Linked DNA regions of Notamacropus eugenii. The protein of the gene in region 1 binds, or shares a complex with, the protein of each later gene. Links are inferred from orthologs where the notes say so. Each region holds a gene or a part of one and is shown on either strand. Other genes may lie near its edges.

Region 1 (8,424 bases):
TACCACAGACCTCCCCACTCTCCAGCACCCTCCACGCATACGCACACTCAAGAAATTCCAGAAGCTTACCCCCTACTTTCATGATCAAATATAAACTCTGCTGTTTGGCTTTAAAATCCTTCACAATCAAGTTCTTTCCTAGTCTTCCAATCTTCTTACACTTTACTGGCCTCTACAGAATCTATGATCCAGTGACACTAGCCTGACTATTTCATCTTCTAATTATATGCTTTCAACATTGTACCCCATCCCCAAAATGCCATCTCCTCTTCACTTCCAGCTCCATATTGTCTCCCTTAGAATGTGAGCTCCCTGAAGGCATGGGTTTTTGTATATCCAGCATCAGCGCAGTGCCTGGCACATAGTTTTTAACATATGCTTACTGACTATGTGGACTGTGACTTCTGGAGATCCCTAAATATAATGTGTCTAAGACCACAGCTGAACTGAGGCCTTCCTGACTGAGCCTAGCACTCTATCCATTGCATCACCTAAGTCTAAGCTATTAAAGTCACACAGGCATTAAGAGGCCGAGGCAAGACTGAACCCAGGTGCTCCAGCTAAATAAACAAGTGCTCTTCACATTGTTCCATGCTGCCTTTACCTGCATCACGGACGGACGCCACTACTAGAAGCTTACAGACAGGAAAAATGTCACCAGCACCAGCAACCTCTACTACTACTACAACAGACTACTAGCATCTGTGAGAACCCAAAGGGAGGCTGCTGGTCCTATTCCTGCTGAGTTGTGATCCTAACAGCATGATTATGTTGCACACTCCCTTTGGTAAAATGCAAGGGGAGCTCTGTACTTGAAATTTGGTGACAGTGGCAATCTTCTCCAGTATACTTCCTATAATCACAGAATGTTGTTTTTCTTTGGGGAGTAGGGGGTTTTTTCTTCTACATCAGTAGACTCATGAAATTCAACACTTTTTGGCACTGTGAAAGACACCAAGATGAATATTGAAGTCCTTGCCCTCAAACTGCCTCTAGTAACGGTTCCTAACTATTCTGATTGGAAATCTATGAAAACAGAATTTGAAGGCAATGTGGTAAGGAAACGAAGACACAGAGAGCACTGACCCAAAAGTCTTAATGAAGATTTAGAATCTTTTTTTTTTTTTTCCTTTTCCAGATTTATTTTCTGTTCTAAAGTATGGCATTCAACAAATTGTAAAAGTTCTTTCTCAATGCTATTCAATGTATATTTTTGAAAAAAAATCATATGTAAAAAATAAGTACAGAATAAATCAAACACACTAGCTGCAGAACTTTCCTGATATTTTTCCTTCTTGTGTGAAGATTTAGAATCTTAATGCAGATTTAAGCTATGAAAGATTAAAAACTTTAAGTTACTGAAGCTTAAAACTGAACTAAGATTTTTGGAATATCCTGAATATGACTCAAAGACTACTTCCAAAAAGCTTACAATCTATTAGTCCTGGCTCATACAACAGACCAGTGGTTCTCAAAGTGTGGGTCTAGGACATAAGAGTCTCCAAAACCAATTAAAAAAAACTAAGTTTATTAACCTATGAGGTTAAAACTATTTTCATAATAATACTGATGTTTTAGTTTCTGATATGCCAAACATAGATATAACCCACATGAATAAAAGCTCTTAGGGAAGGGTCCTCAGTATTTTTTAAGACTATAAAGAGGTTCCGAGACTAAAAAGTTTCAGAATCCCTGCTACAGGCCATTTGAGGGCAAAAACTGTTATCTTCATTTTTATATCTTTCACAGTGGTTCATTATAAATAAGCAGCATTCAAATGTGCAGACTCAACTGAATGAATTTGCTGAATGCTAAGGCCTCACATAGGATAGCTCTAGATTTGTGGGTTTTTTCCTTTTTATCTTAATCTAATTCACCACTTCCACCCTAATTCCTAGCCAGAAGGAACCTTAACAGATTCCTAAGTCAATCCTCCCACCTGTCCTAAGGAGCACAGCGAATTTGCTTCTTCACAGCACAGTTTTCAGGTGTCTAAATGACAAAAATCACAGAATTTGAAAGTTAGAAGAAGCTACAGAATACACTTAGTCCAACCCAGACCTAGACAGAAATCCTCTCTACAATATCCTCAATAAGTGGTTTATCGAAGAATTATCATGAAAGAGAATCCACTATTTCCCTACACAAGCCAATGGGGTAACTAATTTTGAGAGGTTTTCCTTACATCAAAACTTACATCAGTATTATCATTTTTCAAATGGAAGCTTTGAGATGTGCCTGGTAGGGTTTTTATTCAATCAACATTGATACATGTTTTGTCAAATGATTAACATAAAGTCAGGAATAGCAGTAATTAACTTAAAGAGGATGATTAAAGTGAAGGCTTCCTACTTCATGAAATTATTTGGGAGCACAATCAGTACTAAATAGATTATAAATTTATACATTATAATACACAAATGTGAATTTATGTATTACAATATGAATGCAAATTCATTACGAATATATGAATATAAATTGATATTAAATATAGGATTTAAAAAATATGTAAGGGCAGCTAGGTGGAAAGACTCATCTTCAGGGATTCAAATGTGGCCTCAGATACTTAACTAGCTGACCCCGGGGAAGTCACTTAACACTATTTGCCTCCGTTTCCTCATTTGCTAAATGAGCTGAAAAGAAGGAAATAGCAAACCACTTCAGTACAGTTGCCAAGAAAACCCCCAATGGAGTCAGAAATGATAAAGATAACATATTAAACAGAGGACTTTTAAATACATAATTCACACAAGATCACAAAGGAAGCCATTTACACTGAAACAGTTACCCAAACCTATGTTTCCAAGGTTCGGGAAGCCCTGCCTGGGTCAGCACTAACCAGGTGGTGCCGCAGCCTGGGCTGAGCCCCGACCCCGGACGAGTGATTTCATCTGTCGGCTTCGGTTTCCTCGCATGTAAACAGAGATAATAATAACACCACCGGGGAGTGACTCGGCGGGTCTAGACCGAAGGAGGGAAAGGGGGCCAGCCGAGACAAAGCCTCAAGTTACACTCCAGCAGGTTCGCCGCAATAGCGCGACCCCGTGCCTTGGCTGCCTCTGGACCCGGGGACATGGGCACGGCACCCCGGGTAACCCTGAGTCCCCAAGGGCGAGGACTCCGAGGAAAGGGGCGGCTGCACCGCCCGGGGAGGGCCCTCGAGGGGTCTGGCAGTGACCTTGCGCCTCATCCCGCGGCTGAGAGCACCGCGGCTGCGGGCCGGGCCCGTCACCCGGGCGGTGGGCAGGAGACCACGAAGAGCGGTCCGAAAGGGCAGGCCCACGGCCGCGATCACCGCCACAGGCAGCATTTGAACCCAGGTCATTTCTAGACCTAATTTCGCGGCTCCAGGAGGCTCCAGTGGCTCAGGCCGAGCAGCCCGGCCTCGGGGGCCCTTCCCGGCAGGCCTCGCGGCGGGGGGGAGGGGGCGCAACTTGGAGGCCTCCTGAGCGCGTTACCTGCTGGAGGTGCAGCTGGGCCACGAGCGCCCGCGGCAAGTGGAGGAAGCAGTCCCGGGCGTGAGAGAAGGCGATGGTGACGGCCACGACCCCTCCAGCCCCGGCGCCCTCGAGACGGCCACCGCCCCACATCGCGAGCGAGCGAGTGAGCCAGAGAGCCAGAGACTGACGGGGCAGAGCACCGATCCGCGCCAGGCAGGAGGCGTCGAGCGCCGAGAGGATCGATCGACAACCACCACCCCCGGCAGCCTACTCGCCCTAGCGTCGCGAGGGGCGGGACTACCGAGCCTCGTTACCGCGCCGCCACAAGACGGCGCCTTCTCGCTTTCTCCATCCCCTCCGGAAGCGTCAACGAGCGCCATCCGTACTCGAGCCAATCCTAGGACGTCGCTGCCTGCCTGACTCTCTGATTGGATGAGAGGGATAGGGGTCAGGCGGAAGCGGTTAACTTGGAAGGAAGGCCTAGTGGGAAAGGATGGCGGACGGCGGAGGGGAGCTGGGTGGCTATTACCCTCACCATGCGCAGCGGGCTGTTTGTGACTCGCGGGCCAAGTATCGGGAGGGGCGGAGGCCCCGCGCCGTTAAGGTGAGAGAGAAACCCCCGGGCACCCCGGCTTCCTCTGGCCAGGAGCGCCCGGTGAGGCTTAGGTAGTGGCTAGATGGGCGGACCGCGGAGCTGCTGTGTTCGGCTACGGTGCCCGGGCCGTGGAAGAGGGACGAGTCCGGTCGGGCCGCAGTCGCCGGCCGGGATTCGAGCTCAGAGAGATCAAGCCCCGCCGAACCTCCCTAAGTTGGTAGGGTCAGTTGACTGGACGGTTCTGTCATCAGCGCAGCCTGGAGAGGGGAGGGCAGGCGACAGCGCTGTCATTCCCGTTTTGTGGATGAGGAGACCGAGTCCCGCGGCTACAAGTGTCTGAGTCTGGATTCAGAACCGGCTCTGCCCCCATCCCGCTCCTTCCCTCCCTGCGTCCTTGTCCGCTCCCTCACACACACACCGTACACACACACACACACCACACACACACCACACACACACACCGTACACACACACACACCGTACACACACACACACCGTACACACACACACACCGTACACACACACACACCGTACACACACACACACACCGTACACACACACACCACACACACACACACACACACACCGTACACACACACACACCGTACACACACACACCGTACACACACACACACCGTACACACACACACACCGTACACACACACACACACCGTACACACACACACCACACACACACACACACACACACCGTACACACACACACACACACACACACACCGTACACACACGCACACCACACACACACACCGTACACACACACACACACACACCGTACACACACACCACACACACACACACACCATACACACACACACCATACACACACACACACACACCATACACACACACACCATACACACACACACCATACACACACCATACACACACACCACACACACACACACCATACACACACACCATACACACACATCACACACACACACCACACACACACACCATACACACACCACACACACCAAATACACACACACCACACACACACCATACACACACACACACCATACACACACACACCATACACACACACACACCATACACACACACACCATACACACACACACACACACCCCGTACACACACACACACCATATACACACACACACACCCCGTACACACACACACCACACACACACACACACACACACACCATACACACACACACCATACACACACACACACACACCGTACACACACACCATACACACACACACACCATACACACACACACACACACACACACCATACACACACACACCATACACACACCATACACACACACCACACACACACACACCATACACACACACCATACACACACATCACACACACACACCACACACACACACCATACACACACCACACACACCAAATACACACACACCACACACACCAAATACACACACACCACACACACCATACACACACACACACCATACACACACACACCATACACACACACACCATACACACACACACACACCCCGTACACACACACACCATACACACACACACACACCATACACACACACACCATACACACACACACCATACACACACACACACACACACCATACACACACACACACCATACACACACACACACCATACACACACACACACCATACACACACGCACACACCATACACACACGCACACACCATACACACACACACCATACACACACACCACACACACACACACCATACACACACACCATACACACACATCACACACACACACCACACACACACCATACACACACCACACACACCAAATACACACACACCACACACACACCGTACACACACACATACCACACACACACACCACACACACACACACACACACACCATCCAATCCACCCTCTCCAGGAAGGCATCCCCACTATAACACACCCACCCACCTGGGGTCATTTAACTTTTGTCCTGAAGACCCCCATCCACCTGGGCAAGCCGCTCTACTTGTTAGGAAGCATCAAACCTACTTTTGCAGCTCCCACCCATTGATTCTGCTTTTTCTCCCTTAGGCCAAACAGAACAAATATAATCCTTTTACATGACAGCTCTTTAAATACTTTCACACAGTTGTCCAGCCACAGTCACTAAACATTTACACAAAGCCTACTGCTGTGTGCCAGGTACTTTGCTAAGTTAGGGGATGTTTTCAGGGACTTCACAATCTAATGGCAGTGACAACATACAAACAAATGTGTACAAACAAACCTACAGGATAAATTGGAGATATCTCAGAGGGAGGACTAGAATTAAGGATGGAGAAAGGCTTCCTGTAGGAGGTGAAATTTTAGCTGCGACTTGAAGTTAGGAAGCACAGATGAGAAGAGAGCATTATTAGTCTTTTTCTTCACAGCAACACTTTTCAGATGCTCAGATCCTCTCCCTGCTTTCTAAACAGTCCAGGTCAGTCTGCTCAAGGAGATGTGTGAAGAACAGGTGTATAAAGATAAGCAGGGCTCTGGGGAGAAACTTCCCCTTCTACTATGCCAAAAGATCCATAGTCCATTAGTATGTTGAAAATCTCAGATTACTAGAAACAAAGTAGAGCTGTCATCGATTGGGGAATAGGCAGACAAATTGTGCTGCACAAATGGACTGTTACTATGCTGCAAAACGTGAATGACTACAGAGAGGAATGGGAAGATGTGAACGGAGGTAGAGTGAAGCAAGCAGGACCAGGAAGGCATATCAATGGACTGCAACACTAATTAATGGAAAGTACATCCCTTAAACTAAATATTGCAAAATTATAATGACCAAACTTAACCCCAAAGAAGAGAGAACATACCATTCTTTGTAGAGGTCAGTGTGGAACAGTACGTATAGTGCCCTACTTTTTCAAATGGTGGTTAATTTTGCCAAACTCTTTTTATTCTGTATTATTTGGGATTGCTCCCAAGGAAGAAAAAGAAGGGATACATGGGAAATTGTAGGTGTTATACAAGCAAAATATATCAACAAAATTTTACTTTAAAGAAAAACCTACAGCTTGTAAATATTCATGGTTTTGGATTTACATAGTGTTTTCTTCTCTAGGGCTCAAATTGACCTGTGGATTCATTCAGCTTTCAAATGTAGGAAAATATATTGAGCCTACTCTAACATGAATAATGGAAATTCATAGATAATTCACAATCCCCATTGTAAGTCTTTAGTCTAAAGACAAGTGTTTGCAGGTTTATTCTTGTTAAACTAGAGGTTCTTAAACATTTTTGTGTAATGGATCCCTTTAGCAGTCTGGTAGGGCCTTTAAAGCCCTTTTCAGAATGTTTTTGTTGCCTGTATTCACAATTGAAGGAAATGCTAACTTTCAATTGCAAGTTAGTAAAAAAAATAAAGATGCAAATTTTTTTTTCCCCACCCAAATTTACAAACCTCTAAAACCTATCCCAGGAAGCCATGGGCTAAGAACCTTTATGTTAAACTAATAGAATGGAGCCTGCTTTTGTTAATAGACCTTCTGATGTAGCTGAAGAACATCACATAGGAACATCAGAGTCATTAACCCAGTGATGTGACCCTAGACCTTCCTTGGGTCTCAGTTTCCTCTTCTGTAAAGTGAAGCACATGACTGGATAGATTCTGAAGTCTCTTTATGCCCTCAAAAGACTGGCAATAATAGCAGTTTTAGCTTATCTCACTTGCCTTTAAATCCTGCTTAGATTTATGCCAGATGAGTAGTAAAGCATCATGGTTATATATGTTAATACTTGTCTGTTTTTACATACATCACAAAGTCAGTGAGTTAAATATATTTTAAAACACTACATAGAAGGGATTTGTTATTCTGTGGTTGGTCAAAGCATAGTAGTTGGTAAATTACTTTCAAGGCTGGACTTTATCCTGGTTAAACTTTATTGTGAAAATTTTAGGTACCACATGAGGAAAATAAATTGGACTTTGCCCAAAGGAATGTGAGTGCGATAGTGAAGAAACTGGACATTATGTCATGTTAAGGATTGGCTGAAGAAAAGATGGGGAAGGGGAGGAGCAGGAGCAATATGGTAGCTGTGTTCTGCTACTTCAAGGCCTGCTGCCATTTCGGGGAGGAATTTTGCTGACCCCAAAGAGTAGAACTAGGAGCAATGAGCAGAAGTAAGAGACAGGAAGATCTTAGTTCCCTATGAGGAGAATTTTCTTTATAGCCCTGTCCTGAAGTGAAATGATTAGCCTCAGAAAAGTAATCAAGTTCCCCCATAACTATAGACCTTTAAAAGAGATTGGACAATTACACATCAGAGGTACTATAGAGATTATTCCTGCTTTGGTATGGGTTGGGCCAGATGAGCTCTGAATTCTTTTCTAACTCAGAGATTCTGTAATAAATATAAGG
Region 2 (8,424 bases), on another chromosome or scaffold:
AACCTCCTTTGCCAATTGAGTGAGCCTATTTTTCAGGGTGTTATTTTCTTCTGCATTTTTTTGGGTCTCCTTTAGCAGAGTGCTGATTTGTTGTTCATACTTTGCTTGCAAGTCTTTTATTACTCTTCCCAGTTTTTCCTCCACCTCTCTATCATGATTTTGAAAATTGTTTGGGCTCTTTAAGACCTTTTCCCAGAACTGATCCCATTGAGTGGACTGGGATGTAGAAGCACTGACTTCCGTGTCTTCCCCTGATGGTGAGCACCGCTCTTCCTCATCAGAAGGGAGGGGAGGAGAAACCTGCTCACCAAGAAAGTAACCCTCTATAGTCTTGGTTTTTTTCCCTTTTCTGGGCATTTTCCCAGCCAGTGACTTGAGCTCTGAATATTCTCCTCACACCCACCTCGCCTCCGGATCCTCCCAGCCCGCGCTTGGGGTCTGAGAATCAAATGCTGCTTCCCAGCCTTAGGGCTTTTGGCAGGGGCAGGGCTGCTATTCAGTGTGAGATTAAGTTCAGGTGCTCAGGTGGGGGCAGGGCCGCCTCATGGGCTCAGTTCCCTCAGGGGATTTATGCGGAGACCTTCAACAATGGATCCAGGCTCCTGCCTGCTTGGGGAGCCCGGGTCTGCTCCCGCCTCCGCTGTTGCCTTCCGAGGGGGCCTGAGTATGGGGGCACCCCACTCCCCTCTCAACCCACCAAAGAGACCTTCTCACCGACCCCCGTCACCTGTGGGTGGAGGGACCCGCGTGGCCGCTGGAGATCCCGTCCCTGAAGTCCGCTTGGATCTGTTCCTCTCGTTGCTGGGGCCCGTGCAGGGCTGGGCTGGGCTCCGCGTCCGCAGCGCGACGGACCTTTTGCAAGAGGTTTGCAGGTCCCTCTGGAACAGAAATCTTATCCGCTCCACTATTATGTGGCTTCTCCTGCTCCCGAATTTATTGGCGGCTCTTTACTACGGATATTTCATGGGCTGTGGGTTCGGAGCTAGCGTATTTGTGTGTTTCTACTCCGCCATCTTGGCTCCACCCCCACAAGAGTTTTTTAATAGGTAACAAACCTAGGTCATTTTCTGAGGAGAAAGAGTAAGTATCTCTTAAGGTGTGGTTCATTGTGTAAAATGCTGCAGACAGGTCAATAATAATGACTGGGGAAAGTTCATCAGTTTTGGTTGCTATTTGTCCTTTGTTCTGGAAGACAGGAAGTGATGCCATGACATGCAAGTTGTGTGGGATGGCTCAGGTCCCTACATAAATCAATTACTCAGAGGCCTCTCAAAGTGATGACAGAAAAGTGATTTATTCGTTTCTCAAGAAGAGGGGCTTACCTGTAGGAGTAGGAAAGCCGAAGACAAAGAAAAGGGCAGTGATTTATATAGACCCTAACGCAAGTCCCTCCTCCCCACCACTGACCGTTATCCTCATTAGCTGAGAATATGGTCTTACATTCTAGACACGAAATCTAACCAATCCCTTTTGAAATGAAGACATTGAGGAATTATGTAAGTTTTGTCCAATCATTGAGACCCTAATACACTACACAGTTTTATATCCTTATATGGAACTATTCTATTCTAAAAATATTGTAACCTTGAGCCTTTAGGCCTTACCTCACCCCTGGGAGAAAAATTACAATCTGAGGAGTCTTCAGTAAGTCTATCCCACTCAAAGTGAATTGGATTTAAGTGAGGCAGGGCTGTGCAAAGTCACCAGCCTCACTTTCTTCCCAGAGCCATCTCAGTCCAGTGGCAAGATGCTGTATTTGTCCTTCACTTTTGAAGACAACCATGTTGTGTTTGTCCTTCATTTCCGAATACCATGCCATCAGAGAAACGATGACATGATCTGCACTTGACTTTGTTTTGAGTGAGGGAAGGATGGGCAAGGTCATCAGCCTCACTTCCTCCTCCTGAGCCATCTGGGTCCAATAGCCAGATATTCATCAGGATGACTGGAGGTGGGCCAGGATGCAATGGGAGACCCTGGCCTTTTTTAGGCTAAGGCTTTTTTCAGCTACTTTTTTCAGAGTGAGGTAATGCCCATTCAATGAATAGACCTCTTTAAGAAGTCAATCAAAGGATGGTCCCCTTAATTAGAAAAAAAGATAAATTCAAGCTGAGAGGGGAAGACCCTCAGGGTTGCTGTTCCAAAGAGAGTTACCATTGATATTAAGCCAGGAAGGTCTTAAATGCAACCTTGAAGTGAAGCCTGGGCAGAGACCTATTGTGCTCCCCATTCATGAGCCTCAGAGTGAGCTGGGTTGAAGGTTTTGTGAAAGAGAGACAAGAAAGAAGGAAATCTAGCCAGTAAACTCCAAGTTAACTGGGCAAGACATACATCAGGATGACTGGAGATGGCCTTTGATGCAGTGGAAGGCTGGCCTTTTCAAGCTAAGGTCTTTCCCAGGTCTCAATTTGACTAAGGTGAGGCAGAGAATGTCCTCTTTCACCTAGTTAAAAAAAAAATCAATCTGGGAGGGGAAGACCCTCTAGCCAAAACAGAAACAACTGCTATTCACATTCATTCTGAGCCATTCGGGGCTTGGCCTGGGGCCTTCTGTTGGCCAATCAAGGAGAGCCAGAGTGGACTTGCATGCCTTGACATCCTTAGAAACTCTGAAAAGAACAGTTTAGGTTGAGAGAGTAGTCAGCGGTTACTGGAGAACCCCAGGGAGACTGGAAGGATAGTGGTACTCCAACAGAAGTGGGGGTGTTCAGGGGAGGTGTGGGTCTTTGGGGGGGGGATAGACAACAATGAGATCAAATTTCATATCTGCACCAGTCCATATTAACTACTTTTTCCAACAAAAACAAAAAAGGCAAAGAGGCATGTACAGGAATGAGATCTTACCCTTGATGGCCCCAGCTGGCAGAGCTCACCTGTTGAAAGGTTTTGGGTGTGAGGATGGGTGGGGGATGGGCGGCCAGGAATTGTGCCTTCCAACTGCAGAGCATCCATGACCTGCCCAAGTTTAGGTTATAATAGCGCTCCCCGCCTCCCTCCGCTCCACCGGCCCCGCCTCCCGCTGGGATCGGCCAAGGGCGGAGCCTGGCCACGCCCCTTCCGCCGCTGGGGGCGGGGTCAACACCGCCTTCCGCTCTGGAGGAACTGCCGTGCAGAGCGGGCGCGGTAGGTGCAGAGAGCTGGGGGCCGTGGTCGCGGGGTCCCTGCAAAGCAGCTTCTCTTGTCTCCAGGTCAATCTCGAAACGACAGAGCGCGGTGACTTCCGGTGTGTGAAGCCCCGCCCTCGTCCCCCATAGTGAGATTTAAGGAAGTCGAGGCAGGATGCCTGAAACTCGGGGGATTGTTTTGGTGGCGTTACCTTGGTCCGTACGGAGGCCGTGTGTGCTGGGGAGAAGGGCCTGCTGCGGAACCCTGGCTCTGGAAGCCTGGGCCACGTTCAGTCAGTCAACCAGCATTTATTATGCGCCTACTCTGCGACGCCTTGGGCATGGCGTATGGGGGAGGGGAATATACCTATACATGACGTAATACAGAGGGGGGAACGACCCTCTGGGAGCTCACTTACATTGGGGGGTGGGGCGGTGGCGGAGGACATGTTTACGTAAATGTATACAAAACAATTAGTGTTCACCTGGGCGAGGGGAGTCAAGGAAGCAAGTGCAAGAGGGAGATACGAGGAGTGCCCGAAGGCAGGCCGGTGCAGAGCGAAGGCAGGTTAGGCGTTTATTGAGCTCGTACTGTGTGCCAGACTCAGGGATAAGCGCAGAAGGTACAGTGTAACAGAGAACGTGCAAGTTGCAACTTTGTGCAAACGATGTTCTCTGGATGAAGTGGAGATGATCCCAGAAGGGAGCGCCCAGGAAAGGCTTCTTGAAAGTGGGGTTTTAGTGTAAGGAAGTCAGGAGACAGAGATGAAGAGGAAAAAAATTACAAGCGTTGGGAACTCATCAGGAAAATGCACTGATTGAGGAGATGGAAGGTCATGTGGCCAATATCATTGGATTACAGAGTATGTGAGGGGAGAAAGGCATAGGAAGATAAAGGTAGGAAAGGGCCAGGTTGTGAAGGGATTTAAAAGCCAACCAGAGGGTTTTATATTTGATCCTGGACATGCTTTCTTGTGTTTGTCCTTTGTTTTCGAAGAGGACTATGATAATCAGAAATGATGACATGAGTTGCATTTGATATGGTGCCACTTGACTCCTCATTGACATGGTCACACCTTCCCTTTAGGAAGATGACTGGCAGCTGAGTGCAAGATGGACTAGAGTGAGGAGAGATTTGAGATAGGGATACCAACAGGCTTTCTAAATAGCCCATAGTATGAAGGGATGAGGGCCTACACCAGAGCAGAGGAGAGAAAGGGATATGTAGGAGAGATGCTCTAACACTAGAATTGATTGGACTTAACAACTGGTTGAATATGATGGGTGATAGGAGTCAAAGATAACACCTAGGTTTCAATTCTGGATAACTGATAGGATGGTGCTGCCCCCAAACAAGAATAGGGAAATTAGGAGTTCTGTTTGGGATATGCTTTGAGATGTCTCCAGCACGTCTAGTTTGAAACATCCAGTAGGCAGTTGGAGATACAAGTCAAGAATTCAGGAATGAGAGTAGGACCAGATATATGGGTCTATAGATAAGGTTTATCTGCATGTAGATGATAATTAATCCTATAAGAACAGTTGAGGTCACCAAGTGAGATTGTAGAGAGAGAAAAGGGCTCAAGGACAAAGTTTTGAGGTATACCAGCTGGGGGAATGGGATGGATGATGACCCAGAAAAGGAGATTTTGAAAAGAGGTGGTCATATAAAGAGGGAAACTGAGGGCAGGTTCATGAAAACCCAGAGAGGAGAGTGTATCCAGGAGGAAAGAGTGGCCAACACAGTTTCAGTCCCTGCAGAGAAGTAAAGAAGGGTGAGAATTGGAAAAAAAAAAAAACTATTGGATTTGACAGTTAGGAGATCACTTGACAACTTTGGAGAGAGCCTTTGCAATTGAATGACAAGGTTAGAGGCCACATTGCCAAAAGCAGAGAATGTGGAGGCCATGAGTGTTTAAAAATCAGCCTACAATGATTAATAATTGTATGACGTTGGATAAGTCACTTACCTCCATAGACTTCATCTGTAAAATAAGAGGGGGGGGAGTGTGGGCGGGGGTTGAATGACATAATTCCTAAAGTCTCTTCCAGCTCTATCATTGATCCTCTTTGTTACCTGCAGTGGCATATTGGTGGGAGCACTGAGTTGGGGCATCAGGACCCTTTTGGCCCTGGACTTCAGCTCTTTCATATGAAGTATTTGTAAACGACTTAGCACAGCTAGCACACTTAATAAACACTTGTTTCCTTCTCTCTTCCACTCTTTTTCTCCTTCCCTCTCTCCTTTCCTTCCTCACTCCCTCCCTTCTGCCCTCCCGTTTTTCTTCCCTCTTTCCTCCCTTCTTCCCTCCTTTCCTTCCTCCCTTCTATCTTCTCTCTCTTTCTCCCTCCCTTCTCTTCCTTCCTGCCTTCCTTCCTCTCTCCCTTTTTCTTTCCTCTCTCCTTCCCTTCCTTCTCTCCCTTCATTCCTTCCATCCATCCTATCTCCCTCTCTCCCTCTTTTCCTCTCTCCTTCCCTTTCTTCCTCCTTTTCTTCCTTCCACCTCCCTCCCTCCCTTTTTTATGTCCTTTCTCCTTCTCTTCTTCCTTCCCTCCCTTCCAACATCTCTCCCTGCCTCTCTCCTTTTTATCCTGCCTTTTTCCTTCACTCCTTCCTCCCTCCCTTCCTTCTTTTCTCCCTTTCTTCCTCTCCCTTCCTCCTTTCCTTCATTTTAGGGGCATGTGTCACATAGATGACTTAAATGGATGATGTTTGCTTGTCCATCTCTGAGCATTTCTGTGAACGTGCCCTTCACTGATCCAAATTGCAATCCATCCTTACCTTATCCTGTGCAATTCTTTACCTTGGTCTCTCCTACATTCTCTAGAGGGATGGAGTACAATAATATTGGAGACCTTCTAGGTCTCTGACATTAAATGGTACCAGTGTAGCACTGAAACCATACAGTTATTATCTTCCAATCGCGTACATGACTGGCCCACCACCTTCTCCTGTTATCAGTCCTGATTATAGTTTTTCAACTATTAAAGTTTTATTGATGGTTTTTGCTTTCATATCACATTGATTTCCACACATGGCCCTCGTTTTCCATACCCATCATACCTTGTGACAAGAATCTAAAAGGAAGAAATACTCAGCAAAACCATCCAATTCTACAACCATTTCTGATGGCAGTATTCTTCATCCATAATCCCTCATCTTTCAACAAAAGGAGGAAGGTGCATTTTCTCATCTTTTGTCTGGGGCCAGTATTGGTCGTTATAATTATACAACATTGTTTCATTTTATTGTTCTTTTTGCTTATATTGTTGTAGTGGTTATTTATATTAATTTCCTGTTTCTTCATCTTTGATGATTTTTACACATTTTTGTGCACCACTCATTCCTTATCATATGACATAATCTTTATACACCTCCCTCTCCATTTGCCCTTTGGGTTACATGAAGTTTTAATTTTAGTAATAATAGTAATTGATATCACTCATTGATTGATGACTGACAGTGCTTTCAGAATTGCAAATTGCTTACATACCTAATCCCATTTAAGACAACAATCTGGTGAGGTGGGATTGTGTTGGTTCATGATTTTGTCACTTGCTGGAGAAATAATGGTTTTTAAGTGAGGTTTTTCTTTTAGGGAGCAAGCTTGTGGTCATAAAACACTGAGGTTTCCAAATAGAGTTTAACTTACTTTCTTAGTCAGTTCTGGGTCCGTCTAATCTGCCATGCCTGTCTGGGGTATGTATACAGAGGGACCACAGCTGTCCATTCCACTGTGTAAGAGCCTAGGGCAGCGGCTCTCACCTTTGCCCTTTTCCTTCATGATGTTTTCTGTATTTCTTTACAGATGGTCTGCCCGTCTGACTCTGCTGCTTATTCATAAACATCTGGTAAGGTGACCAGGACACCTTGGTCATGAACCCAAAGCCTCGAGCTGTTCCAGAGGGAGGACGGCTGGAATACCTGCAGGCACTGGTCACAGAGTTCCAGGAGACAGCAAGCCAAGGTGAGAGAGGGGGGACAGTCAAACCCAGGTCCTTCGTCCTCAGCTGGCATGCTTTGCTTCCTACTCCCCCCCAAAAAAAAAACAGCTCACATGCCATTTATTATTTTAATGTTTTTGTTACAAATTAGACTTCATTGTTGTCCTTCATTCTTTAAGGGGACCAAAATAATGTCACTATGTTGGAGTCAAGATAGAATGTGTCCCACTGTGGTTGATCAAACTAATATGACCTCAGAAGGCTCTACCACAGGCAGGGCACAAATAGTCCACGTGAACATTTAGAGTGAAGATGTTTCCAAATTTGTGCATCTCATGTTTCTTTTGAGCTACTGTAGCGCAGCACATAGAATACAGGGCCTGGAGTCAGGAAGACCTGAGTTCAAATGTGGCCTCAGGCACTCATTTTGTGACCCTGAGCAAATCATTTAACCCTTTTTGCCTCAGTTTCCTCATCTTTTAAATGAGCTGGAGAAAGAAATGGCAAATCCACTCTAATATTTTTTGCCAAGAAAAGACCAAATGGAGTCATAAAGAGTCAGACACCACTGAACAACAACAAATACAAATTAGACACATACTGGCTGGAAGACCTAGCAACTCCCTAAGACTATAAAGTGTAGCACAAGTACCAAACTGTCTTGGTGGAGTAAGTTTGTCACTAGAAATTTCCTGCATTGAAATCACAGATCTGGTCCCTGTGCCTTATTCCAGAAATAAGGAGGTATATGATGTATATGAAACATCAGCAGTTCTATGTTTATTACGCAATTTCCATTCTGTCAGAAAGAAAAACAAATCTCCACTAGTGGGGCTGTCACCTTTTTAATATTTTGTTAGGGTTTTTTTTTTCTCAACCAAAACCATGTCTTTAAATTAAAAAACAGAAACAGAAAACAATAGTAACATACTTTCTGACAAATGAGTTTCTTTCATTTTATATATATATATATATTTTTTTTTTTTCATTTTATATATCCCCACTATAACACACCTAACAAGTACTCACCCAGCCTCCACTTGAAGACCTCCAAGGAGGGAGAACCTAGTACCTCCCAAGGGAGGCCTTGCCACTTTGAGGTGCCTCTCATTGTTTTTCCTGACATTGAGTCTGAACTGGTCCCTTTGCAATGTCTACCCTTTTCTCCTTGTTCTGTCCTCTCAGGTCAAACAAGATAAACCTTATTCCTCTTCATTTTAACAGCCTTTCAAATACTTGAATCATGTCTGACCCTCCATTCCCCTACCCTCCACCACCACCCCCTTTCTGCTTACTCTACCAAGTCTTCTACACCTTAAATATGTCAGGTTCCTTCAGGTGGCCATATGTCATGAACTCAGTACCTTTCAGCCTC

What was found.
Region 2: RBM48 (region 1) and ARMC7 share a complex: the UniProt entries of both Homo sapiens proteins name them as parts of the minor spliceosome. The link is inferred for Notamacropus eugenii from reciprocal best matches to the Homo sapiens genes RBM48 and ARMC7.

The regions. Positions count from the first base shown.
Region 1 is NC_092874.1:47,882,317-47,890,740, reverse strand, and holds the start of RBM48 (RNA-binding protein 48), read left to right. Parts: upstream 1-4,077; 5' UTR 4,078-4,117; coding exon 4,118-4,252; intron 4,253-8,424. Other genes in the region: peroxisomal ATPase PEX1, read right to left, coding at 3,459-3,590. UniProt on the Homo sapiens protein: As a component of the minor spliceosome, involved in the splicing of U12-type introns in pre-mRNAs.
Region 2 is NC_092873.1:341,060,344-341,068,767, forward strand, and holds the start of ARMC7 (armadillo repeat-containing protein 7), read left to right. Parts: upstream 1-3,035; 5' UTR 3,036-3,123; exon of another isoform or gene 3,124-3,223; intron 3,224-3,225; exon of another isoform or gene 3,226-3,397; intron 3,398-3,581; exon of another isoform or gene 3,582-3,672; intron 3,673-6,913; 5' UTR 6,914-6,981; coding exon 6,982-7,072; intron 7,073-8,424. UniProt on the Homo sapiens protein: As a component of the minor spliceosome, involved in the splicing of U12-type introns in pre-mRNAs.